4 linked regions of the Oryza sativa Japonica Group genome follow. The protein of the gene in region 1 binds, or shares a complex with, the protein of each later gene. Links are inferred from orthologs where the notes say so. Each region holds a gene or a part of one and is shown on either strand. Other genes may lie near its edges.

Region 1 (7,475 bases):
GTTAACTGTTCATCTTCGTTGTTAACTTGTGTAATGTTTGTGTGGTGTGTCGCCATACCGGTGCGTTGAGCCGGTGACTATAATTTATGTGCACAGTACCACACGCCCCTAGCCAGCAGCTAGCTAGGACTAGCTCCTTGTTAGAGGCCGCTCTATCCTACCACTGATCTCACTAATTCACATAAGGGTTTACGGTTTACCATCCTTAAGAAATTATTGGGAGTTTTTCTTGTGTAAATTAAGCTTGGTATCTCCATGTATCTTGACTCTTGAGGTACCAAAATATATTTTTATTTAGGTACTTGAGGTACTTTTTCATGGATCATAAAATTTCACTTCACGTAGAGAGTTACTCAGCTCGTGTGGGCCGTCAAAATCACGACCTAGTGCCCCGCAGCATTATCCACAAGGCCCATTAGCCTGATATCTGAAGCAAATTATCGGCATCATTTTTTCGCTTATGCTTATACTTATCAGTCAAATTTTAAATTTTAAACCTTAAATTTATAATTGATTTTAGGATATTTTTTTTCGTCGAAGTTTATTTTCCAGCCTTTGCTTTTAGATCGCTAAGAACACATATGTAAAAATTTTATTCATATTCTTTTTTGTTGTAAATATGACCTTTCGCTTATAAGCGAAACGATGGAGCCGAAAATTATATACTCGCGGGGTTATCTTTTTTTCCCAACAAAAATGACATCAAGTTTGATTAATTTGCCGTAAAACTGGTAGAACCACAACAATATCAACTTACAAAAGAATCACATAATAACACCACCAATTCAATTAGAACAGAATCACAAAATAAACCAGGATATATTCTCCGTCCAAATTAAATTTCGCACACCCAACGACGACCTCTCCCAATTCAAAAGCACGAGAGTGCGCGCGCGCCACACGCATGGGGGCGGCCGCGGCGGGCGCATCTAGTAGTGCTTGGGCGGGCAGTTCGCCGGCCGGAAGGCGAGCGGGCCGGCGGCGTAGACGACGTTGTCGTAGCCCTGCCCCGGCCACCGCTTGCCCTCGTCGCGGAGCGGCGCGCCCACCATGCCGGCGTTGATGTTGGTGAGGCCGTCGCACTTGCGGTCCGGCGACGACAGCAGCCGCGCGTAGCACGCCCCCCGCGGGTCGGCGCCGAGGAAGTCGGACGCCCTGGTGACGCCGAACTCCGCGAGGAAGTAGCCGCTCTCGTCGGCGACGGCCAGCCTCCACCACGCCGCCCGGTTCTTGGCGTCGCGGCAGGTGACCGACACCTCCGCCCCGCGCAGCGGCCTCGCGCCGTCGAGGCTCCACGAGTTGCGGTGCTCGCAGCTCTGGCAGTACACCTTCCCCTCCACCCTCACTAGCACCTTGTCGCTGCTTTGGTGCGCCGCTGGCGCCGGTGGCGGTGGCGATGGCGGCGGCGTGTGCTGCGGTGGTGGCGGTGGCGATGGTGTGGTGTAGCCGTTGTTGGCGGTGGCGCCGGCGGCCAGGAGGGAGACGAGGATGGCGAGGTGGAGGAAGGCAGCCATTGATGCGGAGCTTGGTGTAAGCTCGACTGAGATGGTTTGTGTGAAGCTTTTTTTTGGCTGTGTCGAGATGGAGAGAGGCTTGGGGTTTTATATACTGCCATGGATCAAACGTGCGGACATGTAGATGGCCGAAGCCCGAAGTGGTGGCCATGTTTGTCCTGGAAAATGTCTTGGTTTTGATTAAGATTACGTTTTATTATACATTATTGTAAAATTGTGACAATATTATACGTACAATGATTGACCTGTCGAAATGAAAAGAAAGACAATATGTAATGATTGGTCACCATGGGCATTTTTAAGAGAAGAAATCGCATGCTTGTAATCTGTTTGGCGATTGGTCAGTCTGACATAGATAACGAATGTTCAGAAGGATGATATGCAGATTTGTCAGAGAACGTGCTGCCCGCGTGTGTCCTCAAGACTTCAACTGCAATATCTGGTTCTCCGTGTAGGCAGAGAGATGTTCCCCAACGCAATGCCGCGCAAAATAATCAATTTTGCCGGCAGAGCGACAACTTGTTTTATAATCTGAAAACGAACTGACATCTTATTTTATCTGTAAAATGTGCAGTTCATGTAGGAGCATGATGTGCGTCCATGTTTTGTCTGAAACCGACTGAAAGATAAACAGAGAGCACTGGAGTAAGAGAATTTTCTGATTGTTTCTACATAGGAGTAGGAGAGTTTAAGGCGAAAGTTACTGGATGGAAAGGAAGTCTGACTAATCGAGCTTACCCAAAAATTCACAAAACGTAGCATCTCCATCCCATCAAGAGCAATATGTGCTCTAGTTCTTGTTTTTCATCTTGAGGGAGAAATTATCCGATTAAGTTTACATGTCTGAAGAGCCTAATCATTTTTGTATATCACTTATATGTGCTGTCCTAAAGATTTGATTTATGGAAGAGTAGAAGACAATTCTCACTTCACATTCCAAACAGGTCATAAATCGACAATATCGCTTGTTATTGTGCGGTTTCCGCGGTAACCGGACTTACCTTTGGATACACTAATAGTAACTTATCCCGTCAAATTCAAATAAATTTACATAATAATATGAACTTCTAATAGCATCGTCTAGTTTTTCATGGTTTACCGTGTGATTACCGTGCTTACGATTGGGTGCGGTAACTCAACCCCTGATGGTAAGGTTAGCCCTGCTCTAACTAGGAAAAAACAATAACAAACAGATATATAAGACACAGGTTTAACATCAGTACTCTTAACTATTCCCTCCGCTCAAAAATATACTACCTCCATTCTAGAATATTCGTCGTTTTGAGTTTTTTATTTGTAATGTTTGACCATTCGTCTTATTTAAAAGATTATGTTATTATTATTTATTTTGTTTGTGACTTGTTTTATTATCAAAATACCTTAAGTATGACTTATCCTTTTTAGGTTTGCATTATTTTTTAAATAAGACGAATGGTCGAATATTGCAAGCAAAAAGTCAAAACGATATCTAATTTGGGATGGAGGTAGTAATAAATTTTGACACTTTCATTTGTCCACAAAAGGCTAGTGAATATTATTAATGGGCTGGGCCAAACACCCACCAAAGAAAATTCCCAATGGGCCTTGAGTGATCCCCAATATACAGCCCATTACATGTACACCCCAGCAATCCAGGCCCACACGCAGCGAGAGAATTCGACTCCCGTTTAATTCCGGCCCAAATCCATCTCTTTCGACTGCTTACTTCTGCCCTAATCCACACACGTATCAGAAATTCGGAATACTCTGTTCGCACTTGCCCTTCCGGAACGCTCCCAAACCCTAGGCGCGTGACCATGTCGGGGTCGTACGGATCCGACGACTACCGCGGCGGCTACGGCGGCCGAGGTCGCGTCGGGATCCTGCGGGTTGTGTGCGTGCTTGCTTCTGGATCTGCTCCTGACTGGCTTGTGGTTTTTTTTGTAGGTGGCGGCGGAGGCGGCCGTGGGAGGGGAGGTGGCGGAGGAGGAGGGGGAGGATATGGTGGTGGTGGTGTGGGAGGTGGATATGGTGGTGGTGGCGGAGGATATGGCGGCGGTGGCGGAGGGTACGGCGGCGGTGGTAGAGGTGGCGGTGGAGGAGGAGGCTACGGCGGCGGTGGCGGCGGCGGGAGAGGTGGGGGTGGGGGTGGCGGTGGCCGAGGTGGCGGCGGGAGGGGTGGAGGACGTGACGGTGACTGGGTTTGCCCAGACCCGAGGTTTGTTTCGTTTACTCATTTGACGTTGTCTCGTTTGATTCGACTGTGACTGATGAAATCGTGGTTGTCCCGATTGTCTTGTAAATTATGCTACTTGGCCATGAAATCTAGGGTTTTTAGGTTGTTAAATTATAAATTATTGGGTTATTTGATAATTTGGTTTAGGATTTTGCATGGGGCATGTGTGAAGTGTCCTACTAAATTTTTGTTTCATCGTAGTATTGTGAGCATCAGAACTGCCAACAAATAGTTAACTGCATAATTCATTCTCTATGAGAGCTCCCTATAATCTTAGGTCACAAGTGCTAAATTTATGTTGAACCTCTAGATACATAAATATTATGTTATACTTGTCTCCCATGATTTCTTCCCCTCCCCTATGTTCTATTTTCCTTGGTATAGCAGAGTGGCAGAGAAGAAATTTCATATATGTTTTTGAAATGAGTTCATGGTGTTATTGGAAGCATTACAAAATACAGTAAATAAGCACTACAAAATACAGTAAATACTTTCTTTTATGAATATGTTTCTTTCAATATGGCATTAGTTGTCTTGCTGAGTTGGTTATATTTTGCAGAATATTCGGTTGCAATTTCATTGGTTCTCTTCCAATATTCCTAATATATTTGTTTATCATTCTTGTTCCAGTTGTGGCAATGTGAACTTTGCAAGGAGGACTGAATGCAACAAGTGTGGAGCACCTTCTCCTGCTGGAGGTGGAGGTGGAGGTGGAGGTGGAGGGTATAATAAATCTGGTGGAGGGGGTGGAGGCTACAATCGTGGTGGTGGCGATTTTAGTTCTGGAGGTGGCGGTGGCTACAACAGAGGTGGAGGAGATTACAACTCTGGTGGCCGTGGTGGTGGCACTGGAGGGGGAGGAAGAGGAGGAGGTTACAATAGAGGTGGTGGCGATGATCGTGGATTTGATGACCACCGTGGTGGCAGGGGTGGTTATGGGGGAAGAGACCAAGGGAACAACCAAAGGGGAGACGAAAGTGGTTATGACGCTGGTAGCTATGGACAAGTTCCTCCTCAAGGTCCTCCTTCCTATGGTGGGCCTGGTGGTGACTATGCAGCACCTCCAAGCTCCTATGGAGGCAATAATGCATACAATTCAGATTCTGCAGTGCCACCTCCTAGTAGCTATGGTGGTGGTCCAGGTTCATATCCACCAAGTTATGGTGCACCACCTCCGAACCCGCCATATAGCGGTGGTGCTCCAGGTGGCCAAGGTAGCCTACCTCCTTCATATGATGGTGGGTATGGTGGTCGGCCTATGCCTGGGGGTGGAGGCCCTGGTGCACCTCCACCCTATCATGGTGGTGGTGGTGGTGGTGGTGGCGGCGGCGGTGGCGGCGGATACACTGGCAGTGCTGCTCCAGAGCCAGCTGCAAAGGTTAAGCAGTGTGATGCAAACTGTGATGAGACTTGTGATAATGCAAGAATTTACATCTCCAACTTACCTCCTGATGTGACTGTTGAGGAACTGCAAGAACTATTTGGAGGAATCGGCCAGGTATACTTTGACCTCCTCTTGAGCTCCCACATATTTAGTGTTTATGAACTGTGCATTTCACGATTCGCTCACTGAAATATTTTGTGCATTTTATGTCTTTTTTCTAACCTCATGTTTTTCATTTTATGTGTTTCGCCATAATATCTTTTTCCAGTGTTACTGATATTACTTGTTGGAATTTAAGTAAATTTACAAATCAGTATTCAGATGATGTTTATAATCTGTAGTTGGGCTTGTTAACATTTTTTTCCCCTTTTGCTTTCACTACTGCTAGCACATTGCAAGTCATAGTTTTGCACAAAATCTGCTCCATCTGTTGTATACAGCGCAGTTAGAGCGAGCTTATTACATATTGTTTTTTTCCTTGCTAGTGGAGAAGTACACCCTTGTGTTTCAATGTGCATAATTAAATTTGGATATTTGTTTTGATGTAACATAATCATCTTGCAGTAATGATGCTCTTTTTTTTTGTAGAAGTAGTAGTACTGTAATTTTAGTTATAACCAAGCCATTCAATGATTTTGTAGTAATTTTGCTTTACTCCCATATTGGTATTTTATGCCAAATAATTCGTGGCATATCACCCCATGATGTTAATGTAAAATCTTTGATAATAAAGTAAAGTTGGTTTTACAGATTACTTAGTGTTCCTAGCTAAATTTATTGCAAGAAATTAATTTCTTTAGTTTTGGGGGTGGTAACTGCTTGTGTTTCATGGCTGTGTTTTGAGTTTTTGCAACTGCTTTTTTCTTAAGGTTGGAAGGATCAAGCAGAAACGTGGCTACAAAGACCAGTGGCCCTGGAACATAAAGATCTATACTGATGACTCTGGAAAGAATAAAGGAGATGCCTGCCTTGCCTATGAAGATCCTTCTGCTGCTCATTCAGCTGGTGGATTCTATAACAGTAAGTTCAGCATCGAGATTATATTATGTGTGTATAAATACAGTGTTCTGCAATTTTTAATGCATGTTTTCTATTGATATTCCAGATTATGAAATGAGAGGCTATAAAATTAGTGTTGCGATGGCTGAGAAATCAGCTCCTAGAGCTCCTGCATATGGTCATGGGTAAGTACTTTTCAGTTCTGTAGATGCTAAATGCAGATTGTGGAATGCTGTGTGCCTATGTCCAAGCAAGACAGCTTCTATTATGGGCAAAGCATGCCCCTTTTAGTTGCAATTTGATAGCCTAGATGTTTGAATCTATTCTTCAAAGTGCTCGTAGGTTGCCCCCTTAAGAAACTGTGATATTAGGAGTATATGACACGTACCATCTGTTTATGTTATTTTGGTGTAGCTTTTTTTTCTTCAACTACAAAAACTGTGTAAAACCAAGCACTTAAGCTAGAAATGTGATGTAAGCCACAATTACATTGATTGGATTCTGGTGGAACATAATCTGGGGACTTTTCTTATCATATTTTTTTGTATAGCGTGTAAGGTAGTTTTACCTGATACTTCAATTATGTGTTCTTAATTTGCATATGCATTCTGTCACAAAGGGCTTATAATAACACATTCATGGTGTAGAAATAAGTTGAATGTGGGAGCAGTAGAATGCCAAGTATGTATCAGTCAATGTACACTTGTACTACTTCCGGGTTAAGATCTTAAACATTGTTCACTGAACCTCTTTGTGTAATTTTTAGCCTAGCTAGAAAAGAATGTCACTAACATGCCACGATTCGAAGTTGTTTGGTATTATTTTAGAAACTGGATAATTGTAAATATCTATTTATTCTCACTTGACAAGGTGGGTCCTAACCACTTGTCTTAAGTCAATGTGTAGTGTATGACTGTGTAAGGGACAATGTGTTGGTTGAAATCTTTAGCATACCTCGATTTAACACAATATTTGTGAACACTACTTGTTATTTTATGTATGTGCTTGGGCATATACATCATGGTGTAAAACAAGTAATATATGGCAACTGAATGATTTTTGTTTAATTTTTATCAGTTGTGCCTTTTAGGTATTTAATATCTGTCCACACCACTTTTAGCTCATATATAACTTAAGTTATTACTCATGTCGAGTTGTATATGTATAATCAACTGCATTACATGGCATGCAGAGGTGGACGTGGTGGCTATGGTGGAGGTCGCAGGGATAACTTCAGAGATGGAGGAGGCCATGGGCCTAACAGGCATCAAGGTGGTGGTTCGCGTTCAAGGCCATACTGAAAGCAACTAATATAGTTACTAAGATTGTCATCTGTGAGAAACCATTTCTATTCCTGTTCATC
Region 2 (7,539 bases), about 25 Mb from region 1:
GCCTCCTCCCGTTCGCCGCCGCCGTCGTCCTCCAGGGTCCCTCCGAGCGATGGCAGCGGCAGCGAGGCAGCTGCAGGGGGGGCACTGGGCGGTTGGATTGGGAGGCCGTTGCTGGTGCTGGAGCTGGTCCTACTCCGACGAGCCGTCCCCGTCCAAGAGGAGGACGAGGCGGCGGCGGCGGCGGCAGCGGCATAGCCATTGCCTAGCTTACGACAAGGCAAGGCAAGACGGACAAGGGATAACGATCGAGTGGCTGTGTGGACTGGAGTGGACAAGACAAGCAGGAGGTTAGTAAGGTCTTTTCGCTGCTCTAATTCATCACAACGAAATATAGCAAACCTTGCATCAGCTTGACATTTTTCCCTTCCAATAGTTTGAACCAAGAATGCAGCAGCTGTAACAGGGTCTACAAACAAACACAACTGGTGTGTTTAGTTCACGTTAAAATTGAAAGTTTGATTGAAATTGGAACGATGTGACGAAAATGTTAGAAGTTTATGTATGTAGGAAAGTTTTGATGTGATGGAAAAGTTGGAAGTTTGAAGAAAACATTGAGAACTAAACCAAGGCTGTGTTTAGTTTCTGAAATTAGAGAGAAGTTTAGAGAAAGTTGGTAGTTTGGGAAAAAAAGTTAGGATTTTATGTAAGTAGAAAAGTTTTGGATGGGATGTGATGGAAAGTTAGGAGTTTGGGAGAAGTTTAGTGTGAACACCTAGGCCTGAACCAAAACATGTTCTCAAAATAATTAAAAAACACCAAAACATCAATAGAAAGAAGACATGATCAAGATGTACCAGTGATGTCAAGTAACTAGATGCAGCCAGCCACTTCCAAAAATGAAACGAAGAAAAATAAGAAAGGATGAGATCCCCATAAACAATTGCCTAATTTCAGAATCATCGACAATACCAATACACACAATGCTCAAGGAACACAATGCCGGCGTAAATGCTCCCGCCGAAGCTGCAGCCTGCAGGACATAAGATCCTGCATAGCATCCGATCTTGAAATAGCAGAAAGACACTTCGTTTAAAAAATCGATTAGTTACAACGGCAAGAGTTCTACGTATAAAAATAGCAGAAAGACACATCGTTTGGGTTAAAACGAGGGTCGCATTTAATTGCAGACAAGCATATAATCAGATTCAGCGCATACTCCAAACAGCATAGTACACAGTTCAACTATTCATAAGCCTGAAAATTCACAGCCTACGGCCAATACTTTATACATAGAATTTTCCACGGCTAGTAGTACCGTAGTACTTCAGCTTGTACGTACTGTTTGCTCTGGTTCCCTTGCTGCGACAGAAATCACAGTAACAATTTCACAAAGCTGAAGAAATACATCTCATGTCATTCTCTCTTTCCGCGCATCTGACCGCAGAAAGGACCATCTCAGTGTCGACTGGGATCAACAGAGATGCTTCAATTCTAACGGAAGAGCCTGGGAACAGTCCGCCGTGGGATCTTCCCTTCAAGTTTCAATCTTCTGTAGGCTTCTCTGATGTGGCAAGGCCTTACTGGTCCAGAATCTTTCCTCTCAGTCATAACTATTCTAGCTGCAACAGACACAATCGAATTGTCAAAAATAAAGTGAATAAAGCCATCCCTCCTTTTTCTTCTGATGTCAGAGAACAAGTTTATGGAAAGCAGAAAAGGACATTTGAACACGGACGATTACAAAAGATCAGTCATAAGAGTGATTTGCTTTAAGAGATGAGCATACATCAAAATCATAGGTGCTTTGGTGGTAGTGTTCTATGAGCAACAAAGTAAATAAGATAATTACTCTAGACTTGCCTGTTTCAACAAGCTCACCAACAAACATCTTTGCAATTCCTGATACTACAATTGTTGTTGGTAGAGAAATCTTTTGACTGCCAGTAATGCTCGCCAATAGCTGCATGGAAACAGAATATCAAATCAACTTTAAAAAAACATGGGTGTAGCTATATTTATGGCGTCATATTTTTCATCAAAAAATAGTCGGCATGTATTTACATTGTAAGTCCCTAAATTACATATGTAATTTTAGTGTATTTACAATGTAAGTCTCAAAATTACATATGTAAGTAATAAAATTACATATGTAAATTCGAAATTACATACTAATTACATATGTAAATGGGGTGTAAATGAGGTGTAACTACTGTGTAAGTGGTTAAAAAAAATCGACTGTAGCATATGGCGCCATATTTCTAGCAACTCCGAAAAACATTCCAATAACGCAGTGATCTCATATTTCAACCACTGATGAGGAAATACATTAAAGCACTTGTCCCTCTGACTAGAACGTAATTTCAAAGCATTGTTAACTTCAGGCATTCAACAGCCAAAAGTAACATTTTTACCGAGAAAAAGGTCAAACTTTGGATTGACACTACAAAAAGGCTTTCTTAGCCTGCCTATAAATTGAAGAAAAGAATATTGACCAAGTTTGGTTTTTTATTTAGAGAGTGTACATCACTTACAATCAGTAGAAACGATGACATAGGCAAAAATGTATTTATCTACAACTTGGAGCGAAATCAACTGTCCTGTACATGAAGCTCTATCAACAATTTGGACAAGACATGCATGGTACATTGTACAACTCATGGTATGCATCCACAAAAGAAACATGAACCAAAATAGAACAGGTGTTATTCAACAGAAAATAAGGTAACTGTAAGACTTAAGAAAGCAGAAAATGTTAATGTGATCCACATTTTGTGGAAAGCTTTTATTGCAAAGGGGAACACTGAAGCCAATTCAGATGGAGGCGCCACACGCATCACACGCACATGATATTGCAGTTTATACTTGTACGATATTAAATCAATGGATGTTGGGAATGAGATCATACCTTTTTCATGTTAGATTTCTGGAATCCAGATCTGCGGAATGACTCATACCGGTTCATCTGGTCTTCTGTAAATTGAGACAGTATGGCACTGGAAAAGGAGTACATAGTTTTTCAAACATAGAATTCTTATTTAGATGGGTTTAATATTTCACTATATATATTGGAACATAAATCTGAGAAGTGCATAATGTCAGGATGTTCTGTAAATAAAATCACAAACAATTGAGAACAATCCCCTTTTCCAATTCAGAAATCTCCACTAGTACAAATCTTACTGTCACAAATTAACCAAAGTTGAACGGTGAAGGACACCAAAATACACTGAACTTGATCAAGAACATATTCTCAATAGACAGTCATATGGTTCCTAACTTTAACTGATCTTTATGCCAGTAAACGCTTCACATATAGCTGGAAACTGGGACTACAGTCTTTATGAAGTGAATAATGTCAGGTTGTTCTGTAACTACAATCACGAACAATCCTTACTCCAATTCAGAAATTTCCACTAGTACAAATCTTACTGTCACAAATTAACCAAAGTTAAAAGGGTGAAGGACGCTAAAACACTGAACTCGATCAAAGAACGTATATACTCAACAGACGGTCATATGGTTCCTGAATTTAGTTGATCCTTATGCAGTTAACCCTTCATATATAGCACGCACCAGAAGAAGGCAAAACTAGGTTTAGGATGAGCGCAGCCAAGCACCTACTTCATCTTGGCGAGCTTGTCGGGGTCGCTGGTGCCGGAGGGCAGCTTGTCGAGGTCGACCTCCATGTGGTCCTCCTCGTCATCCTCCTCCTCCTGCTGCTCCTTCTGGACCCGCACCACCTTACCCCTCGCCGCGGCCGCGGCGGCACCACCGGAGCCCGATGGCGCGGCCCTCGAAGGAGGCAGCCGCAGCGGAGGCCCGCGCGACCCGCTGGCGCCGTCGTATCCCTCGGGCGCCCCGGCCGCGTCCTCCTCGTTCGCCGCCGGCGACTCCGGCGGCGACTCCTGCTCCTCCACCGCCGCCTCGAACGGGTCCTTCATGGCCGCGGCTGGAGACGAATCGCAAGAGTCCAGAGTCTTCTGAAAATTTTTGGGCCGGGGTTGACCTACCTGCTCGCCGCCGCCGGGCTTGGTGGGCTGCTTCGCGCGTGGGCCTTTTTCTCGGGCCGGATTTCTGGGCCGATTTCTCCGTGGCGGCCGCGAGAATTTTCACCGGTGAATCAAATCGCTCGTGCCGAACGCGCCACCGCTGAGCAGCTCACGCCTCACGGCGCGTGCAGCAGCGGCGGAAACAAATTCTCTAACTGACATATGAATTTTGCAGTTCGTGAACCTACATATTAACGACGTACTCCCTCCGTCTTATAAAAGACCAACTTAGTACTAGATATAACACATCCTAATACCATAAATTTGAACACACTATACTAGAATATATCACATATAATCCTAGATTCCTTTTTTACGTCAGAGAACAACATCAGAGGAGCATTCTTTCAGCAACGGCAGATGTTACACGCTTATACACAGTTGAAACCGTGATGTGGCCTACCTCCGATGCGGACCTTACAATGGCCGGGCGCAAAGTAAAGAAAAAAGGAACAAAAAAAAACAGGATTACTACTACTACCATCATCAGAACAGCAACAAAAAAGTTTCATCTTTTCGTTCGAGACGTATCACATCGTGCAACAGGTTTTCGGGACCAGAAAACTCCCAAGCCGTGGGCACTGACCCACCGAGAGACCCATCCTGAGAACGATGCATCAAACGTGTGCAATAAAAAGCTTAAGCAGCTACAAAAACAACAACCCCGATCGATCACGCTGGGATTTGGGCATTCAGGAGGAGGATAGGATTTGCTTTGCCCCCCTCTCACAGCTTTTGCATTACCTCCGTATCGCGCCTTGTTTAGTGGAGGCCGTTTTGTTTATTGCCGCTAATCCTAACGCATAGGATTCTCGCTCGCTCACCATTGACCTCCTCTTTGCCCAAGCAAAGCCTCGCCATTAGATTACTTACCCAGATCACACAACAATATTCTTCGCTAGTTCTTGCAGCTCTCTCTCCCCTGAATAAAATTGACGGCACAAAGGTGCTTTCTGGCGCCGATCACTTTGCTCCACGAATATAAAAAACAACATACTATATGCACACACATATATACTATCATACTCCGTATGATACATCATACATGTGAATATAAAACGACGAGAGCCACATATATCGTCGTGTTTTTTTTTCCGCTTTGCTGGTGATGAGAGTGAATATTCGACCGGCTGTTCGTCTGAGGCTCGTCTGACCAAACTCCCGCTATCATTGCCGATTATTATTCCTCGCTTCGGTTGCGCTGATCGCTTTCAGCAACAGGGGGGGAGGGGGGGGGGGTGCGACAAACAAAAAGAGATGCCCAGCTCGTGTATATCTCTCGAAGACTCCCAAAGCTGTGTGTGTGTATATATATATATATATATATATATATATATATATATATATATATATATGGGGCACCATGGTGCCCGGGCACCATGGTATCTAATGCACAAAATCACTCAAAATTTTCAAAATTTTTAAATTGTGAGTATATACCTAGTTATAATAATTTGATTCATACCTATACTTATCAACAAAACAACTCAAATTTAACTTTATTTCATAATCCATGATTACATACCTAACTAATTATATGTATGGATGCTATATACCTAGAATCAAAATATAACAAAAACAAGTTCAAATTCAGTTCAAACTTGCTTTAAACTAGTTAGTAAAGTAGTTAATGTTAATACCTAAGTAATTGAAAAAGTTTCATACTCATTTGAATTGGGTATATACTCAATTTCAACAATGGTGCCCGGACACCATGGAGCACCAAACAAATTTAATATATATATATATATATATATATATATATATATATATATATATATATATATATATATATATATATATATATATATATATATATATATATATATATATAGAGAGAGAGAGAGAGAGAGAGAGAGAGAGAGAGAGAGAGAGTCCTGCCTCCAACTGGTAGCGTATAAAATATCATCGTACGCTTGTACTAAATGGAGGTCGTATCTGCGACGGGATCGTAGCCAGCCAGGCCTGATCTCCTGCTATACTACCTGCAATGCAAGTCCTGGCTGGAGCTGCAAAAGTGTAGCCTTGTCCGGTTGTCCCCTGTTCAGGGGCGTACGTGTCGAGCTCCGGCGATCTCTGCTGCCGCCGGGACGGCCGGCCGGGTGCGTCCGTGCGTGGTTGGGATCTCACAAGGTGGAGCTCGCCACTGTCTCGCTGCTGGAGCTGTGTGACGCATGGCGATACGCCCCTCTTCTGATTGAGAGAATGATAATTCTATACTCATCCGTCCCATAATACAAAGGATTTTATATAAATATGACACATCTTAGTGTAATAAGTCTAATAAGTCTAGACCGTCGTACTAGGATATACCACATTCACCCAATATCTCTTATATCATAGGACGGGAGGAGTATAAGGTGTTAGGAGGTACTATATTTTTTAATATAAAATTTATTATCTTCGTTTACTAGTTATCTTAAGGTATCATAATTTTTAATATAAAATTTTAGAATATATAGATAATTCGTTTTTAAGTATCGTAAAATTTCTCCTAAAGTAATGCACGGCCAAGGTTGCCTTCTTTTTGTAAAATCAGCAGCCTCATCCTCTTCTGTGTGTCCATTTCTTTTCTCCTTTTCTTATTGTTGTCTTAGGCTTTTTTTGCGGTTCTAAATTCTAATGGCTATCAAGCATCAGCATTGCTCTCACCCTTGTCTTTTCCGGGCTTGTGCGATTCGAGTGGCCATTATGGGGTGATTATTATGTGTACTTGGAACAATGTATCTGTCAATGTGGAGGAGTACTAATAATCCCTGCCAGCTGATTAAAAAGATTATGCAGCTTCGACTTTTTGTATGGCTTGTGTGGTAGTGGACTGTACTAGTACTATGCTAGCTAGGTGCATGCTTATGTGCTGAAATGGTTCTCAGGAAAATAATAATGGTATGAATGCTATATTCTAAAAAAGAAGAACAGATTAATTAATATGCATAAGTTCGTTGAACTAGTTGCAAGCAATTTTTTTAATTACACGGTGGACGCACACGCGCACACATCACTATACACGCAATATCACATTCACATCCCCATGAAAGCGTCACCTACCACATGCTTTAAGAAATGGAAACTAACAGCGCATCCCTGATTCCACTAAAGTTCTATTGAAAACCCATGTGCAGTGTATAATATTTATAGGCACCAGAATTTAAACCCTGGTGGATGGAGTCATGCATCCACGACTCCACCACCACACCGTTAGCGTTTCCCATGCATCTTTTCTTTTTTTTTTTAATTGGGCAATGCTCTGTTATGCTATTTTTCCGTCAGTAGGAAGACAGCTTTAACTCTAAGCAAGCTATAAGTCTGTAACCACACAACCTATAGCCCCATATGGAGTTCTGGACTTGTCATAGCAAATTGTCACACATGCAAATGATATTGGTTGAAATTGTGCCGTAGAAAATTTATAGTACTAGCATATAAATAGAAAAAAAAAACGAAACGAGCATAAATGTAGGAACCCAATGAAATTGGTTGTGTTAGATTCATTATATCGCTTCCCTTGACCTCCTTTCAGGCTAAACCTGTGAATGGAGAATAATTTTCC
Region 3 (7,502 bases), about 10 Mb from region 1:
GCTTTTTTCCCCATCTGCTACCACCTTGTATTCTTGCTTGACTTTTCCCTGCTGTCTCAAAACAGGTTGATGCTGTGGTATATTTGGTAGATGCTTATGATAAGGAACGTTTTGCTGAGTCAAAAAAGGAGCTTGATGCACTCCTATCTGATGATTCATTGGCAGCTGTCCCGTTTCTTATCCTTGGCAACAAGATTGACATTCCATATGCTGCTTCTGAAGAGGAGCTGCGGTATCATCTAGGCCTTAGCAACTTCACAACTGGGAAGGGCAAGGTCAGCCTAGGTGAATCCAATGTCCGGCCCCTCGAAGTGTTCATGTGCAGTGTTGTCCGCAAGATGGGCTATGGTGACGGGTTCAAGTGGGTCTCCCAGTACATCAAGTAGATCCCTTGTCAAGACATACTTGCATACTCTGCCCAGCGATTTTTTTTCCTTCTCGTTTGTTTCAGTTGGTTGTTCTTCACGACAACAATCATCATGACGGTATGGAGGGTATGAAGAGAAAACAGTGCTTTAACAATTGGGGACGATGTTCCATGTTGGATATTTAGCCTCAAACCATTTGTTATGTCGAGCTTCTAAAATTTTTTTGCTTTTCCATAGGGCGTTTACTAAGGACTTGGAAGATGATGAATTATAAGATTATTGGTTTCTTAAATGTTGCTTTGCTTATGGATTGCTGCATGATGTGTTCCCATTGCGATGCATTTCAGCATTTGTATCATCTATCACAACATCTGCAGCTTTTCTTTTTTGAACATCCCTTATGGTTTGCTGGGGACTTCTATTCTGTCAATGCACCCGGCGTTGGTGTGTTCCCGATTTTTCTTCCAGAAGGAAATGATCTACCGAGTTTAAATGCCTATATTGGCCCAAATTTGAACATGGTTACCGTAGAAAACATCTCTATGTTTTTCACTTAGAACTTAAAAGAAATTTCAAATGTTTTTAAATGTAACACTTTTGATAAAAGAATTTGCACAAATCAACGGAGCAAAAGCAGGGTTTACGTTACCGCGCGGTTACTGCGGTTACCGGGCTTACCGTGGGGGTACGGTAATATAAATACTGCGGTAACCTCCTTAAATTCAAATAAAATTAAAAAATAATTTGAATTTTTGATAAATTTTGCACGGTTTTTCACGGTTACCACGCGGTAACCCCGGCCCCTACGGTTTGGGAAACCCTAAGCAAAAGAATGCCTTGGTGCATTGAAATGCGAACCATGGATAATAAACTCATTGCTCAATCAAGAAAAGAAATAAAGCAAATGAAGAAAATAACACCCTAACATGCAAAAAATATTGCAACCGATTCTCCACACGAAAATGTGAAAGACAAATAATTAACAAACACAACTTTCATCAATGACCATTGTTTAGTGACTGTTGTCTTGTCTAACTCAGGTTACCTTCCCCTCCGTTTCCGGTTATAAGTGTTTTTGATTTTAGTTAAAGTCAAACTATTTTTAAGTTTGACTAAGTTTATAGACAAATTAGTTTCATCAAATCAATGATTGAATATATTTTCATACCTAAACCTAGAATTGGATGAGAACTATCCTAGTTAACTAGTATATTCCTTCTATTTCATAATATAATAATTTAGAATCAAATGAGACCTATTCTAGTACTACGAGGTTCGTAGTAGTATGATACATGCAATCCGATTCTAGCATACCATATTGTGGGATGGAGGGAGTATATATGAATGCAAACCATGTAATTTAAAACAAATGGTTACTCATGCTACTCATGGTAATAACTTACTTCAGTAAAATGTATTTGGTCCTCAGTTTTCCCAACGCTAAATAAATTCGACCATGAAGAGTACTTAAATATACTGCTTGGTGCTAAAGCTGTCCACAATAGCATAATATCAGTTCCCTGTAAAATTAGTGGTATATTGTCACCGTGAATATACTCAATAATAATTAAACAAAAGCTACTAAAATTTCTTTTTGGAGGGAACAAAAGCTACTACCTCCCTCCCAAAATACAGAGAGTTTTAGGTTTGGACACAGATATTAAGAAGGTATGTAGAATTAAACGAAAGAAAGTTGTGATTGGTTGACAAGAGAAAGTTGGTGGAGAATTTGAATGGTGGAAGATTGTGATTGGTTGAGAAGAGATTGTAGGTGAAGAAGTTGTTATATTCTGGGATAAATTTTGAATGTTAGAAGTTGTTATATTTTGAGACGGATGGAGTACTAAACTCGGTGGCATAAAGTCAATTCCTTAGTACCAAAGATAACAAAAAAAAAAACAAAGTGGGAGGTAGGCAACAAGTTTTAGGAATTAAAAAAAAAGGGCATTGAGGAACATTCTAAAAATGAAGTTGCCATTGAAAAAAGATGAATTCATATCTCCACCCGTTTCTCATTAGGTCCATATCTTCCAAGAATATTACTTTGGAGTATTGAAAGAGTTAAGATATCAAGTTGCAAGTTGTCATGTCATTTAAGACCAGAGGTTTGCCACTCTTTCTCCTTGTGCACATTACCACCACAACCACTAATCTAGTTGTAGGTCCCATTGCAAATCCTTGTTCATTCATCGTCATCGGTCCTTAAGCACATCGCCATGATCTAATTTTAATGGCACTTAGATTTAGCCATCTCTTTAGCGGCGGTGGCAAGTGCTCCAACATTGACTTCTAACTTTCTATTGGAAACGTTTAGCTATTTGGTTATCATTATTGTCGAGTTGTTGACGCTCTACTCTCTATTATCAGATCTAGCCATAGGTACAATAATTTGCCTGTTCCTCGTCCTTTCCCTATATGAACCATTTTCTTCACATTTCTAAGTACTAACTCATTATCCTTTTTTAAGTGCTCTAATATTTTTGAAAGTGTTATTTCTCCTTTATCTTTAAGTGGCTCATGTCTTCTTTATCTATGCTCTCCTGTATCTCAAGTCTAATGTTGCAATCACTGACTGAAAATCACCCAGTTCTCGTAAAAATGCCGTGGGGACTGGTTTACGAAAACTAAGTGGTTTTACTCCCTCAAATATAGCAACCTTGTACCTCTGTCCAGATTCATTGTACTAAGATATGTCTCATCTAGTACAGGTTGTTATATTTTGGAACGGAGTGAGTAGCAATTTTCGTATGAAATTGATTAAAAATTGCTATTCTTATTGTTTTTTTTACCAAACCGATACAAACCGGTCTTCACTCGAAAACGGTAATGCAAAACTGGACAATATGGTGTGTTGCAAAATTTCTCAAATGGCCCGTTTGGTTGGAGAGAGTTTTCAGGAGGGATTGGGAGTTTAGAGGGATGAGGCTATTAAGTGTTTTGTTTGGTTGGGAGACATAAGAATTTTGGTGGGATGTAGATCCCTCCTTTTCAATACGGCAGGTAATTGGGAGGGAATTCCTCCTTTACTTTGTCTAAGCAAATCTCAGCCATCCATTTTTATTAATGACCTAATCTCTAACTAAACTCCTTATCAATTTTTATCATCTCTACCAAACAAGATATTAGGATTAAAAATTAAATTCTCATCTTAATCTCATCCGCAATTCCCTCGTGTAAACTCCAAATCATACCATACAAGCCGCAAGGACCGGAAAATTCTCGAATCGCCGCCGGTACGCTCACCAGCTGCTTCCTTCCCTTCGCCGCCGGTACGCTTCCGCCGCGATTGCCTCTCCCCCTTCCCGGCCTTACGCTCCGCCGCTAGTGTGAGGCTGACTCCACTCGTTTCCTTCCAGTTCGCCCCTCAGAAATCCATCACGGCTGTGCATAGTGCACGCGAAAGCCCTAAATCCAAGCGGCGGCGAGGAGCGAAGGGAAGGGGAGGGGAGCGCCGCCGGCCGTCGGGAAGAGGGGGCGGGCGGCGTCCGTCTCCCTCCCTCACCCCTCGCGTCCTTCGCTCTTCCGCCGGGATGCAGAACCCTGGCGGCCACCACGCTAGCCCGGCCTCGGCGGCCAAGTCCAAGTCCTCGACCGCTGCCGCCGCGTCGGCGTCGGGCCAGGGGAGCTCCCACCACCACCACCACCACCACTCCGGCGGCGGCGGCGGCGGCGGCGGCGGCGCCGACGCGTCCGCCACCACCCTCAAGCGCAAGCGCGGCGTCTTCCAGAAAGACCGTACGGCACTGTTTTTTCTAAACTTTAGTACTGCTGCTGTTCTTCGAATTCGTTGTTTATGCTGCATTTTTCCCCGTTCTTGCAGTGCAGCACATGATGTACGGATTTGGGGATGATCCAAATGTAAGCCCGACCTCGATCTATGCCTTTCATCTCTTAATTTTCAGGCTAGGAATTGTTTGGGGATAGGATGCAATTTGTGTACTTTGTGTTGTGGAACATTGGAGGTAATTAACACCGACAACGACAATAATTGCAAGTAGGCCATGGATTTACAACACAACTACATGATTGCCTAAGAAAGAATGGACATGCTGTTCTACCTTTTAAGTTAAAATCTTGTATGTAAATGACATCTTTCTGTTGGTTTTGCAGCCGCTTCCAGAAACTGTTGCACTTGTGGAGGACATTGTTGTAGAATATGTCACTGACCTGGTAAGCTTTCATTGTATTTGTCTTTCTTGTTTTCTACTGAAATTACATTTATGAAGGTTGTATGGATGAAAGGAGTTTATTTGGATTTCGACATCCTTATTTGTTGCCTTATTTAATTCAATTCTAGTGTTCTGGAAAGAGTGATTAGGTAGTTTTCTGGAAAGAGTGATTAGGTTCAGTGCTTCTGTTTGTCGGGAAACATGAAGCCTTTTATGTTTTGAGAATTAATAGGGGCTTCACTTTAACCTATAGTTCATATTTGTGTAGAGCCCAAGGGCTTGAAGTTTGAACACTGGTTTCGGGAAAAAAGAACTACTCCCTCTGGAAAATAAGTTGCCAGGTCTCTACTGGACAAAAGTTCGATTCCAAAATTTTGAATCAAAAAACCAGTTACCAGCTAGTTACCGGCAGTAAACCAGTTTTGTGATAAAAATATTGGATTCGAACTTTTTGCATGCTAATATGTAATAATTCAGATCCGGCATATGAAAGTAAACTAGTGTACCTGTACATGAAATTTCAAGAAAATATAAAGTTATACTTTATTCTTATGGTCTCAAATCTGAACTTTAATTTAAGTGTGAACTGTACTTTGGACTAGATTTTATTTCCTAAGTTGCACATTGGATTAGGTATTATCAAAGGTTTTCACTTTGAACCAGCTTATGGTATCAAATTTTGCACTTTGGACCATTAGTCCCACACGTCAGCCTCCATATAGTCATCTTCCTCGTCAGTCCTCTCGTCTCCTCTCCTTGTGCGCCATCATGTGCTCTCGTTGCGGCAGCTCATTTGTGCAGGCCGCTATGGTGGAGCATCTTGCCAAGCCTTTCTCAGCTAGTCCACCACAAATAAAAGCCTTAATTAACTTTTTCCATCCTCAGTTCCCTTCTCAATCATAAACCACCAGATAAGTTGAAGAGCTTCATACAGTGACAAACCTTCCAGACCTCTCCATGCTAATCACCTGACCATCCCCTGCTCTTGCACCCACTGGCCGGAACACCGTCTCAGCGCTATGGTGGAGCATCTTGAGCTCAAATCAGGGGCTAACACTAGTGGAGCTCGAGGCTGAGCAAAAGCTGGAGCTGGTGGATTACTGTGCATAGGCAGAGTGTAGCGATTGTGATGGCATTGGTAGAACTGCGGGTGGAGAAAGAGTTCTACAGACAGTTATATAAGCCCAAATTGCAACATAGAGGCAAACATACATAATCCAAAGTAAAAACATTGGCTAGAGCATATGGTTCAAATAGAAAGTTGGGTAAATATTCCTAGCCCAAGGTGCAATTCACTCCAATTTAAATTGTTCTGGCTGGTACACTCCATACCTGTTCAGCAACGGTTATAGTTATCACCAGGATTTGCATCTCTTGTGGAGCCCTTTTTGTTAATGATTCATAGAGCTTTGCCATCTTTTGGCAGTTCTTCCCTGCTTAAATTATCTGTAAACTATATTAAGAAAGGCATTTTCTTTAAAGTCTCTATATAGTCTACTTTCCTGCATGATATGGAACCTTGAGTTTGTAATCGTGCATAGTGTAAATGAAATGTACCTGTGACATGGGGTGAAGATATCTAAACATGCCCCACTTGTCTGAATATATTTTTGTAGATAATTTGTCCATGCGTGATCTGAATACGCGACGATATGAATTTATTAGGTCTGTTTACCCTGCAGACTTACTTTGCCCCAGGTTGTTGGACAAAATTTTTACATGACTACAATCTAGTATGCACTCTGTAACAGCAGAAATACACACCAAACACAAGAATTTAGTTAACTGTAATTTTTTATTTGATTTTAAATACCTGCATGTGGATAAAACCATATGTGTATGTAATGTTTATTTATGATTCCGTAACTGTTGACTGTATAATGTGCACTTTCTTAGGTCCACAAGGCCCAGAACGTTGCATCAAAGAGGGGCAAGCTCTTGACAGAAGATTTTCTTTACCTCATTCGCAAGGTACATTTCTGAACTCCACATGTGAAGTTGCTTGCAATACAGTTGATTAGGTCATATTAAAATTTATCTCTGTACTTTCTTTCTAGGATGTGCGGAAACTGCACCGTGCCACTGAGCTACTCTCCATGAATGAAGAGCTCAAGCAGGCAAGAAAAGCTTTTGATGTGAATGAAGAGACATTGGCAACAAATAACGAGTGATTTCTCTTGGAGAAACCCCGGCAAAAACTATGTGTAGTACGGAAACTAGTCGTACGATGATCATTTCTCCTGCAGAAGATGTGCATCCATTACATTATGTACTACATTTTTAGGAGAGTAATGAAACATTGTGCAAACTGTCATCCTATTTAGGAGTATTAAACCTAGGTTACTGACAAAATCCATTCCATAACTCTTGGGCTAATTTGCAAGACGAATCTAACGAGATATATTAATCCATACTTAGCGGATTATTACTGTAGCAAAACATGGATTAATTAGGCTTATTAGATTTGTCTCGTAAATTAGCCCAGGAGTTATGGAATGAATTTTATCAGTAATCTACGTTTAATATTCTTAAATAGTAAGATTCTGGAGGGCTAATTATTAGCCATCTGGATCCAAACAAGGCTTTGGTTTGGTATTGTTATGGGATAAGATAATCATGTTTGGGGCAATTGCGGGCGTGAATGCCTGATCGGCAGCCGCAACCCAGGCAGCCGATGGCATTTGGTAATTACCTTTTGTTTTAATCTAAAGTCCCAAACGATGGTATTATTGCCTTTGTGTTTTAAAAGGACGCGACTGGGGTGCATGGTCGTGCGTTAGGCTAAACACCCGTTCGGACATTCTTAGATTTTCCAATTAGTAATTAGGCTATGATGTGCTACAAAGGCATCTGGATCGTCTACATTACTGCAGATGAGTACGGTTCATATGAGAGGGAACAGATCTCCTTCGTTCGCGATAGATCGGACTGTTAAAAATATCCTAAAGTCATAGTGCTGCGCTTC
Region 4 (7,557 bases), on another chromosome or scaffold:
TCATTTTCCTTCGAAATCAACTAGGTAGCCAAAGTGATAATCGTGTTGAAACCTCGGCGAAGATGCACACTTACTTTCTTCCTACTCTTGCACTACCATTAAAAGAAGGAAGTTGTTGTTGTTGAGAAACAGGACAACTACCTAATGGCATTTAGGATCAGCCACTGGAACTGCCGATATTCTCAGCAGGCAATGTGGATGTGATCAATGGTTTCTTCCTGTTGATCACAGAGCACACATAGGGGTGGGTGGGATATACCTTGCTTACTCAGCCGATCATCCGCCCAACATCAACGGTGAGCAACAAGCAACGCTAAAGTACTGGCAGTGTTAGGGGCTTTGCTTTCCCAGATTGGGGCTGCTGGGAAGCTCACACGCCTAAAGAACATTGTATTGTAACTTGTAAGTAGACCCCGTGGAGTAGTAGCCAGAGCTCTGCCAACGCCTGGTGATGGAGTATGGTTGCTCTTGGCTCAAAACAACTGAGGAAATCATCGGTCAGGCCTTTAGGCAGTCCATGACCGTCTAAATAGTTAAGCTTCCCTAGAGGTCATCAATCCAACGCCGGTCACTCAGAGCCTCCTGCACCATCCACCTCCATCGAATCCTTGTCGGTACCATCCGATGAAGCGGTGGTGCAAGACTTTGGAGGTCAGTGCTTTGTAGCCATTGATCTTCCTTGAAGAGGATACTCTAATTACGATCTCCCAACTGGCAGATGATGGATGCTACAGCGAAATCTTTCTCCAAGTTGGAGACCTGCATTGGTAGCCCCAGGGGCAGAGGCAAGCCTAGGGCAACTTGGGCTTGAGCCCTAGGCTTGCCTCCAAAATCATACATAAATTAGGTTAAATCACCATGTAATGTTAGATAAAAATCAATAACTCATTAGTTAAGCCCCAGGTTAGCCCTACTCTTTAGTAATTTGTGGCTCCGCCACTAGGTAGCCCCCACCACAGCTTTGTCGTTGTCTGTGCATGACGACTAGATCCACCGAGAGCACAATGAGACCCCTATAAGATGTAGGTTGTGAATGTTCAACCCGTCGTACTACTTTGGAGCACAAACTTTGTCCCAAGCGAGCCAACAGTGTCTTACCCTACCAATCCAAAGGAATTCTTAGCGAATTCGATCAATCCCCTTAATCACCCGTTTAGGTGGTGAAATGATGATTAGTGTGTAGATGGGAATAGAGCTCAGAACTAATTTGACTAGTGCTACTCTCCTGGCAGGCGTGAGCTGCCCTACTTTCTAGGATGACAAACGTCTAGCGACCAAATCCACCAGGAGCTGGAGATCTTCTTCCCTTAGCTTCTTGGTCAACAGGGGTATGCCTAGGTATTAGTAAGGGAAACACCTCACCTCGTAAGGCAGCTCGCTGCGGATGAGCTCGATGTAGGGGTGGTAAAGGGCCTAACATTTTAGCCTACAAAATTTGAGGGCTAGGCCTAAAATGGGTAGGTTGAATTTCTATTCATTTTCGAACTAAAAGTATATGAGGTCTAGGTAGGGTTGTGAAAGAACTCGTGGGGATTGATCCATTACCACCCCTAGCTCGATGTCATTGTCGCTCCATTTGATCAGGATTGTTGACACACTTGCTAAAGTTTGTCTGCAACTTGTTGCCTCCTCGAACAAGTTTAGTATTTTCTTTGCCACTTGGAAGTCTTGGTTGGTCGCGGAGAAAGAGCACCACATTGTTTTCCGAAAGGGATATGCGGTGCGGGATTGGGATCGGCTGCAGTAAGCCCTCCTCTTTTGCCTTGGCAAACAAGGTGCTTAAGGTATCCATCACAAGGACAAACATTAGAGGTGAGATCATATCGTCTTAACGTATTCCCTGACCGTGCTAGATCATCCGCCCTAGTCACCATTGAGGAGTAAGAGTTGGTATGCAATATGCATTATCCCGTGAATCTTAGTTCAGTGATGGTATGCTACATTGCATGAGTAAAATGACGCTTTCTACTAGACATCAGTGAATGTAACTTAGTAGCTGATGGCAAACATAAATAGTGGTGTTTCTTTGACTTAAGTGAAATTGTAAAGAAAATCTTGCTACTTGACAATAAATCATATAATTGACCTTTTCTTGATAGCATATAACGGTTATGTTTCCTTGTTGCAACTTCTCTTTGTATTATATTATTTGGATGATTTTCAAATGGGATAAGTCCATTTGACAACTCCGAACTCTTCGCTTTGTCTAAAATAAACCCCCAAACTCTAAAACTGAGTATTTGACACCCTCTAACTTTTCAAACCGTCTAATTTTAGCCCCTTAGTGGAAACCAACGCAAATTTTCTTATGTGGTGCCTACATGGAAACTTAGCTATAAAAGAACATAAAAAGGTGGGACCCGTAGGCCACCTCCCCTCTTTCCTCTTACTCTTCTTCTTCCTCTTTCCTCTCCTTCTCCTCTTCGAGATGAATGACGAGGGTAGAAGGCCGTTGATGAGTTCCCGAGCTTAACAAGTAGAGTAGCGAGGCAACCTCCCTGAGCTCAATGAGGCGAGTGCCGACGACTTCCCTGAGCTTGTGTAGCAGGCCCAGCGGCATCGGCTCCTTCATTGAGCTTATCGTGGGATCGAGGTTGTGCTGCTGGCACTTGTCTTCTCTGACCTCGGCAAGTGGGTGTTGGGGGGGGGAGAGCTCTGGGTCTACGATGACAGCAACACTTGGATAGGACGAGTGGCAGCGGATCTCAGAGCTTATGATGACATCGAAGCTTGGGTAGGAGGGGCCGATTACTGCCCATCAACCCTCCTTGGAACTTGCTGGTGATCCCGTCTTCTCCGTGCTCAGCAGTTCCTCTTCTCCAAGCTCGCCGCCAACCCCCCTCTTCTCTGACCTCAGCCAAGGGGCAAGCTCCACATCGAGCTTGCTGCCAACCTTCCTTTTCTTCCGAGCACGACCAAGGGGGTGGGCTCGGCACGAAGCTCTCCGCCGACCCCTTTCTTCTCTATGCTCGCATCTAGCTCGCAGCTCCGTCCATCTCGTCATGGCTGCCTCAAGCTCATAGAGGGAGGGAGTCGAAAGAGAGGGGAAGGTGAAAGAAGACTGTAGGACCTGCTGACGTGGTGTAAACCGCTCAGGGGGTATAAAGTGAATGGTATTAAAAGTTAGAGGGTGTGAAATATCCGGCTTTAGAGTATTGGGTGTATCTCTACTATTATAAAAACTGAAGATGTTTTTGCTAGAATTTTGGTTTGTCATCCATATTTGAGTCGGTTTTTAAGTTCGTTCACTTTTGAAAATACAGAACCGTGTTTGAGTTAGATTTTAAGCTTATTTCCTATTGGAAGTAAGTCGTATAAGAAATCTTTTAAAAAAACTCACATGCTAACTTCAAATTAAATACGGTCTCCTAATTGCAGCTCATGATTTTCTGAAAAAATATCCAATCAAATTTTCACAGTGAATTTTACCGTAGCTAAACCGTATAACAACAATAAAATTAAAATAGCATTTACCCGTTCCAATGCATAGACTTTTTTTTTCTAGTTTTAGACAAAAACGAAGACTTCATAGGTGTAAAATAGACTTATCCCTTTTTTTTCCAAACGGGCCTGAACTCCGCCCATCCTACGCTTATTACCAAAAGGGCCGGAGTACAGCCCACCACTCCCCTCCCTCTTCCCCCCTCCTTCTCGAGCCTCCGGCGACGACGACGACTCCCGCCGCTCTTCCTGGTCCATCGGCGGCGAACTTCCCCGCCGACGTGCCAGATCTCAAACCCCACTAGCTCCTCCGGCGAAGGCGGGGGACCAGAGGATGATGGGGAGCAACAGCGCAGGCGGAGGCGGCGGTGGCGCCATGGTTCCGGGGGGCATGGGGGGAGGAGGGCCCATGGGGGCAGCCGCCGCCGGCGGCGGCGGCGGCGGAGACGGGCGGCACGACGACGAGGCGGTCCTCACCGAGTTCCTCTCCTCCCTCATGGACTACACCCCTACGGTACGGCGCCTGCCGCCCATCTTGCCCTAGCTTCCCCCTCTCTTGGGTTTCGTGTCTGATGCGGTGGTGGTGGTGGTGGTGGTGGTGGTGCGGCAGATTCCCGACGAGCTGGTGGAGCACTACCTTGGCCGCAGCGGCTTCTACTGCCCCGACCTCCGCCTGTAAGCACCCCCATCTATCTCTCCAATAGTTCAATCTCTTCTCTCTTTCAGGAAGACTGCACCGTGCCTTCCAGGATGGGCCAATTGGTAGTTATTAAACTGAAATTCGTCCAGTGCCCGGAAATCACTGAAGAGATTTGGACTGAATTTTGCCTGATTCTTAGTACGTACAACATGGTGACAGTTAGATCTGATTGAGGCTGTTAGGATTGCATTGTAATGCAGCGTGTTGCCATTCTAGTCGAGGGAGAAAATCGCTGTATCCCTTTCAGCTTGGTGATTGTTGGTCGTCATGTGTGACAGCATGGCCTTATGAACCATAATTTTTGTGTTCTCTGCAGAACGAGGCTGGTTGCTGTAGCCACCCAAAAGTTCATTTCGGACATTGCAAGCGACTCTCTTCAGTATGTAACTTTTACTGCCTCATTCGTTTTGTTTTCCAACTTAAACGTATGTGCGATTATTTTGTTCCTTTTTAGTGGTTATCGATTCTTGGAGTCGAATTTTCGTTACCTTCAGATAGTGAATGAGAAATATGATTTCTGATGATGGTCATGAACCATGAGGTTTCTTGCATCATTCATAAATGGAGGTGTATGCAATATGCTTCATTCTTGAGATGTTGAGTAGCCTCATTTCTCCTATGCTGGCAGCTTTTTGAGATAACCATGTTGATTTTAGGCTTGTTTTCTTCATACTGTCAACTTGCATCTTCTTTGTGCTTCCTTTTTTTTGTTTCTATCATCCTTCTCACATTATGACCATGGAATGAAACATCAAACATGGTATCTTATGTCTATATTGTTAAGACAATAGATTGCGAAATATGCATAACATTGATGTGGTAGGGAATCTAATTTCAGTACTGACTGAAACTTTATGTGTAAAGTCAAGCTTCTTATGGTGTTGCTTGTATCATAACTTGTGACAGTTAAAAGGTATCATGCACACTAATTTGTTCATCACATGATTATTGTCCTGAACTAGGCACTGCAAAGCCAGGGTAGCAGCACCTATCAAAGATAACAAGAGCAAGCAACCTAAGGTGGGTTTAATTGCAGTTGGTGTACCATGGTACTACTAGCATGAAATCAGTACTTTTATTTACTGGTTCAGTCATTCTGTTCTTCAGGATAGGCGTCTTGTGTTAACAATGGATGATCTTTCCAAGGCCTTGCAAGAGGTAAACCATTTTCCTGTTGAATTTAAGCTTTCCCTTTTACTGCAGCTCACCAGTTACCACTGTACTTTACGTGATTGAAGTCACAGTTTATTCAGTTTGACGTATAATTGCAATTATTAGTTTTATTAGGACTTGAATCTCTGCATTAATAAATCTACTGTAGAATGGATTTAGTTAACCTTTTTTAGACCAATGGGATTACTTGTTAATGTTTTTTTTAATGAAACAAGTAGCCAAATTGATCAGTTGTATATGCTTCACGATGCTCACGATTAATCACAATTCAGATAGACTAATCAACTCAACAATCAGTCACAGCCTACTTGTATTGGAATATTTTACCAGAAGAACAAATGGGAAACTATTTTGATCCCTTGAGGGGATGTGCCGCTTAAAAATCATCTAAACGGTTATGAAAAATTCTAGAAAAATTTGACAACACTTATACAACATATCTATACAACTTCACAAAATCTTAAGTCCAAATTCAACTCACACATCGAGATATAAAAAAAGACAAATTCAGCGTATAAATAGTACCGCACTGTTAATATCTGAATTTGTCTTTTTGGGTTCTCGATGTGTAGGTCGAATTTGAACTTTATTTTTGGTGGACTATTAGATATAATTGTACTCTACATTGTCAATATTTTTCAGAATTTTTAACAACTATATTTGCATTGATTTTGAAAGAAAAATATATACGAGGGGACATCCCCTCGAGGGATTAGAATCCACTCCCCAGAACACATACATTATAGTACATGAAATAAGCATTTAAGCAGACCTGGGATGAGCTGCTCATATACAGGGATGAGCTGCTCATATACAGGTCTATTTGACAAATGATCTTCTATGCTTTCCCTTCCCAGCAATATTCTTGGCAAATGACTGATTCAGCTATAATCACATCATGGTCAGTACACTTATGTTTACAATTCCATGGTTCAGAATCAATCTACCTTCTACACACGAAACCTCACACAAAAGGGCATCCTTGACATGTCACAATATCACATAACTCTGGACTGTAATGCTCTACAGATGAGCTATCATTATAGAAGCTTTGTGCTTTCATGAAATATGTTTGTTCCACATACTACCAATTTGAGATTTATTTTTGTTTTCTAACATGCTGGCAGCTATCAGTAGATCATCACGTCATTTGATAGAATTAGATTACCATTGTCCAGCGTTTAGTATTGTAACTCCTAATTATCCTAATTAGGCATTTATGTTTGATGCATTTTGAGAAACTGGCACTTTTTACTCCCGTGTCAAATGCCAATATAGATCACAAATGTGTACATCAAATCCTCTATGGTGGTGCAGTAAGCTGGTAACCACTGACTATAGGCTAGTAGGCTCCTTTTTACCAAACATGTATACCAATGCTTAATTTCTGATGTGCACCATACTTATTTCCTTGCAGCACGGTGTGAACTTGAAACATCCTGAGTACTTCGCAGACAGCCCTTCTGCAGGAATGGCTCCTGCAGCAAGAGAAGAGTAGACTCAACTGAACTCAAAGTGAAACCAGGGACTATGTAGGGAGCATGCAAATGAATGACCATGTCGGCATCCTTACCCAACCTTATTACAGCATGCAAATGAATGAACCTGTCAGCATCCTTACCGACCTTATTACAACCTGATGTCTGTTCCTTGATATACTATTGACCATTAGCTTGTAACTAATAGTCTAATACCACTGGTTGCTTCTGTACTTAGTATGAAGTACTATCTGTGCTGATTGATTCCTCTGTGTGAAACCTGTTTTAAATTGCCTGGTGGATCCTTGACAGCTGAAAACTAATTGACTTTGCAACATGCTATAGCTTTTCACTACTTTGTTTCTTGATGTTGCGTTGGCAAACATCATTTCTCAGTGAAAATGCAACATGCTATAGCTTTTCACTACTTTGTTTCTTGATGTTACGTTGGCAAACATCATTTCTCAGTGAAAACCGCAGGGAGGTCTGGGAGTGATCTGGGGCCTGGGAGTGATCTGGAGATCAGGTAGGTCTACCTTATCTTCTCATTATTATATTGCAGGAACACAAGTCAAATCTGCATACAATGTGTATAGCGTCTGAAATAGTGTAAGAATGCATTGCTGAAATACAAAAGGTATATCCTGTCAACTTGTCATCCAAGAGCTATTTAAGTTAACAGTGAACTTCGTGACATTGTCACACAGAAAAACCCAGGTATAAACTAAATAAAGGGCCATGATTACGCTAGATTAGTCGAGTGGG

The links.
Region 2: transcription initiation factor TFIID subunit 15b (region 1) and transcription initiation factor TFIID subunit 11 share a complex: the UniProt entries of both Arabidopsis thaliana proteins name them as parts of the TFIID complex. The link is inferred for Oryza sativa Japonica Group from reciprocal best matches to the Arabidopsis thaliana genes TAF15b and TAF11.
Region 3: transcription initiation factor TFIID subunit 15b (region 1) and transcription initiation factor TFIID subunit 13 share a complex: the UniProt entries of both Arabidopsis thaliana proteins name them as parts of the TFIID complex. The link is inferred for Oryza sativa Japonica Group from reciprocal best matches to the Arabidopsis thaliana genes TAF15b and TAF13.
Region 4: transcription initiation factor TFIID subunit 15b (region 1) and transcription initiation factor TFIID subunit 10 share a complex: the UniProt entries of both Arabidopsis thaliana proteins name them as parts of the TFIID complex. The link is inferred for Oryza sativa Japonica Group from reciprocal best matches to the Arabidopsis thaliana genes TAF15b and TAFII15.

The regions. Positions count from the first base shown.
Region 1 is NC_089035.1:3,328,187-3,335,661, forward strand, and holds the start of transcription initiation factor TFIID subunit 15b, read left to right. Parts: upstream 1-3,252; 5' UTR 3,253-3,310; coding exon 3,311-3,362; intron 3,363-3,440; coding exon 3,441-3,711; intron 3,712-4,359; coding exon 4,360-5,227; intron 5,228-5,982; coding exon 5,983-6,133; intron 6,134-6,218; coding exon 6,219-6,297; intron 6,298-7,304; coding exon 7,305-7,413; 3' UTR 7,414-7,475. Other genes in the region: non-classical arabinogalactan protein 31, read right to left, coding at 930-1,514. UniProt on the Arabidopsis thaliana protein: TAFs are components of the transcription factor IID (TFIID) complex that is essential for mediating regulation of RNA polymerase transcription.
Region 2 is NC_089035.1:28,593,470-28,601,008, reverse strand, and holds transcription initiation factor TFIID subunit 11, read right to left. Parts: upstream 3,923-7,539; 5' UTR 3,882-3,922; coding exon 3,562-3,881; intron 2,934-3,561; coding exon 2,846-2,933; intron 1,901-2,845; coding exon 1,801-1,900; intron 1,560-1,800; coding exon 1,432-1,559; 3' UTR 1,094-1,431; downstream 1-1,093. Other genes in the region: uncharacterized protein, read right to left, coding at 1-199. UniProt on the Arabidopsis thaliana protein: TAFs are components of the transcription factor IID (TFIID) complex that is essential for mediating regulation of RNA polymerase transcription.
Region 3 is NC_089035.1:13,331,361-13,338,862, forward strand, and holds transcription initiation factor TFIID subunit 13, read left to right. Parts: upstream 1-3,594; 5' UTR 3,595-3,637; intron 3,638-3,724; 5' UTR 3,725-3,898; coding exon 3,899-4,103; intron 4,104-4,188; coding exon 4,189-4,226; intron 4,227-4,478; coding exon 4,479-4,538; intron 4,539-6,433; coding exon 6,434-6,508; intron 6,509-6,594; coding exon 6,595-6,708; 3' UTR 6,709-7,266; downstream 7,267-7,502. Other genes in the region: small COPII coat GTPase SAR1A, read left to right, coding at 66-386. UniProt on the Arabidopsis thaliana protein: TAFs are components of the transcription factor IID (TFIID) complex that is essential for mediating regulation of RNA polymerase transcription. May be involved in polycomb repressive complex 2 (PRC2) mediated repression.
Region 4 is NC_089043.1:20,159,668-20,167,224, reverse strand, and holds transcription initiation factor TFIID subunit 10, read left to right. Parts: upstream 1-3,624; 5' UTR 3,625-3,775; coding exon 3,776-3,955; intron 3,956-4,051; coding exon 4,052-4,116; intron 4,117-4,457; coding exon 4,458-4,520; intron 4,521-5,103; coding exon 5,104-5,161; intron 5,162-5,248; coding exon 5,249-5,299; intron 5,300-6,731; coding exon 6,732-6,812; 3' UTR 6,813-7,056; downstream 7,057-7,557. UniProt on the Arabidopsis thaliana protein: TAFs are components of the transcription factor IID (TFIID) complex that is essential for mediating regulation of RNA polymerase transcription.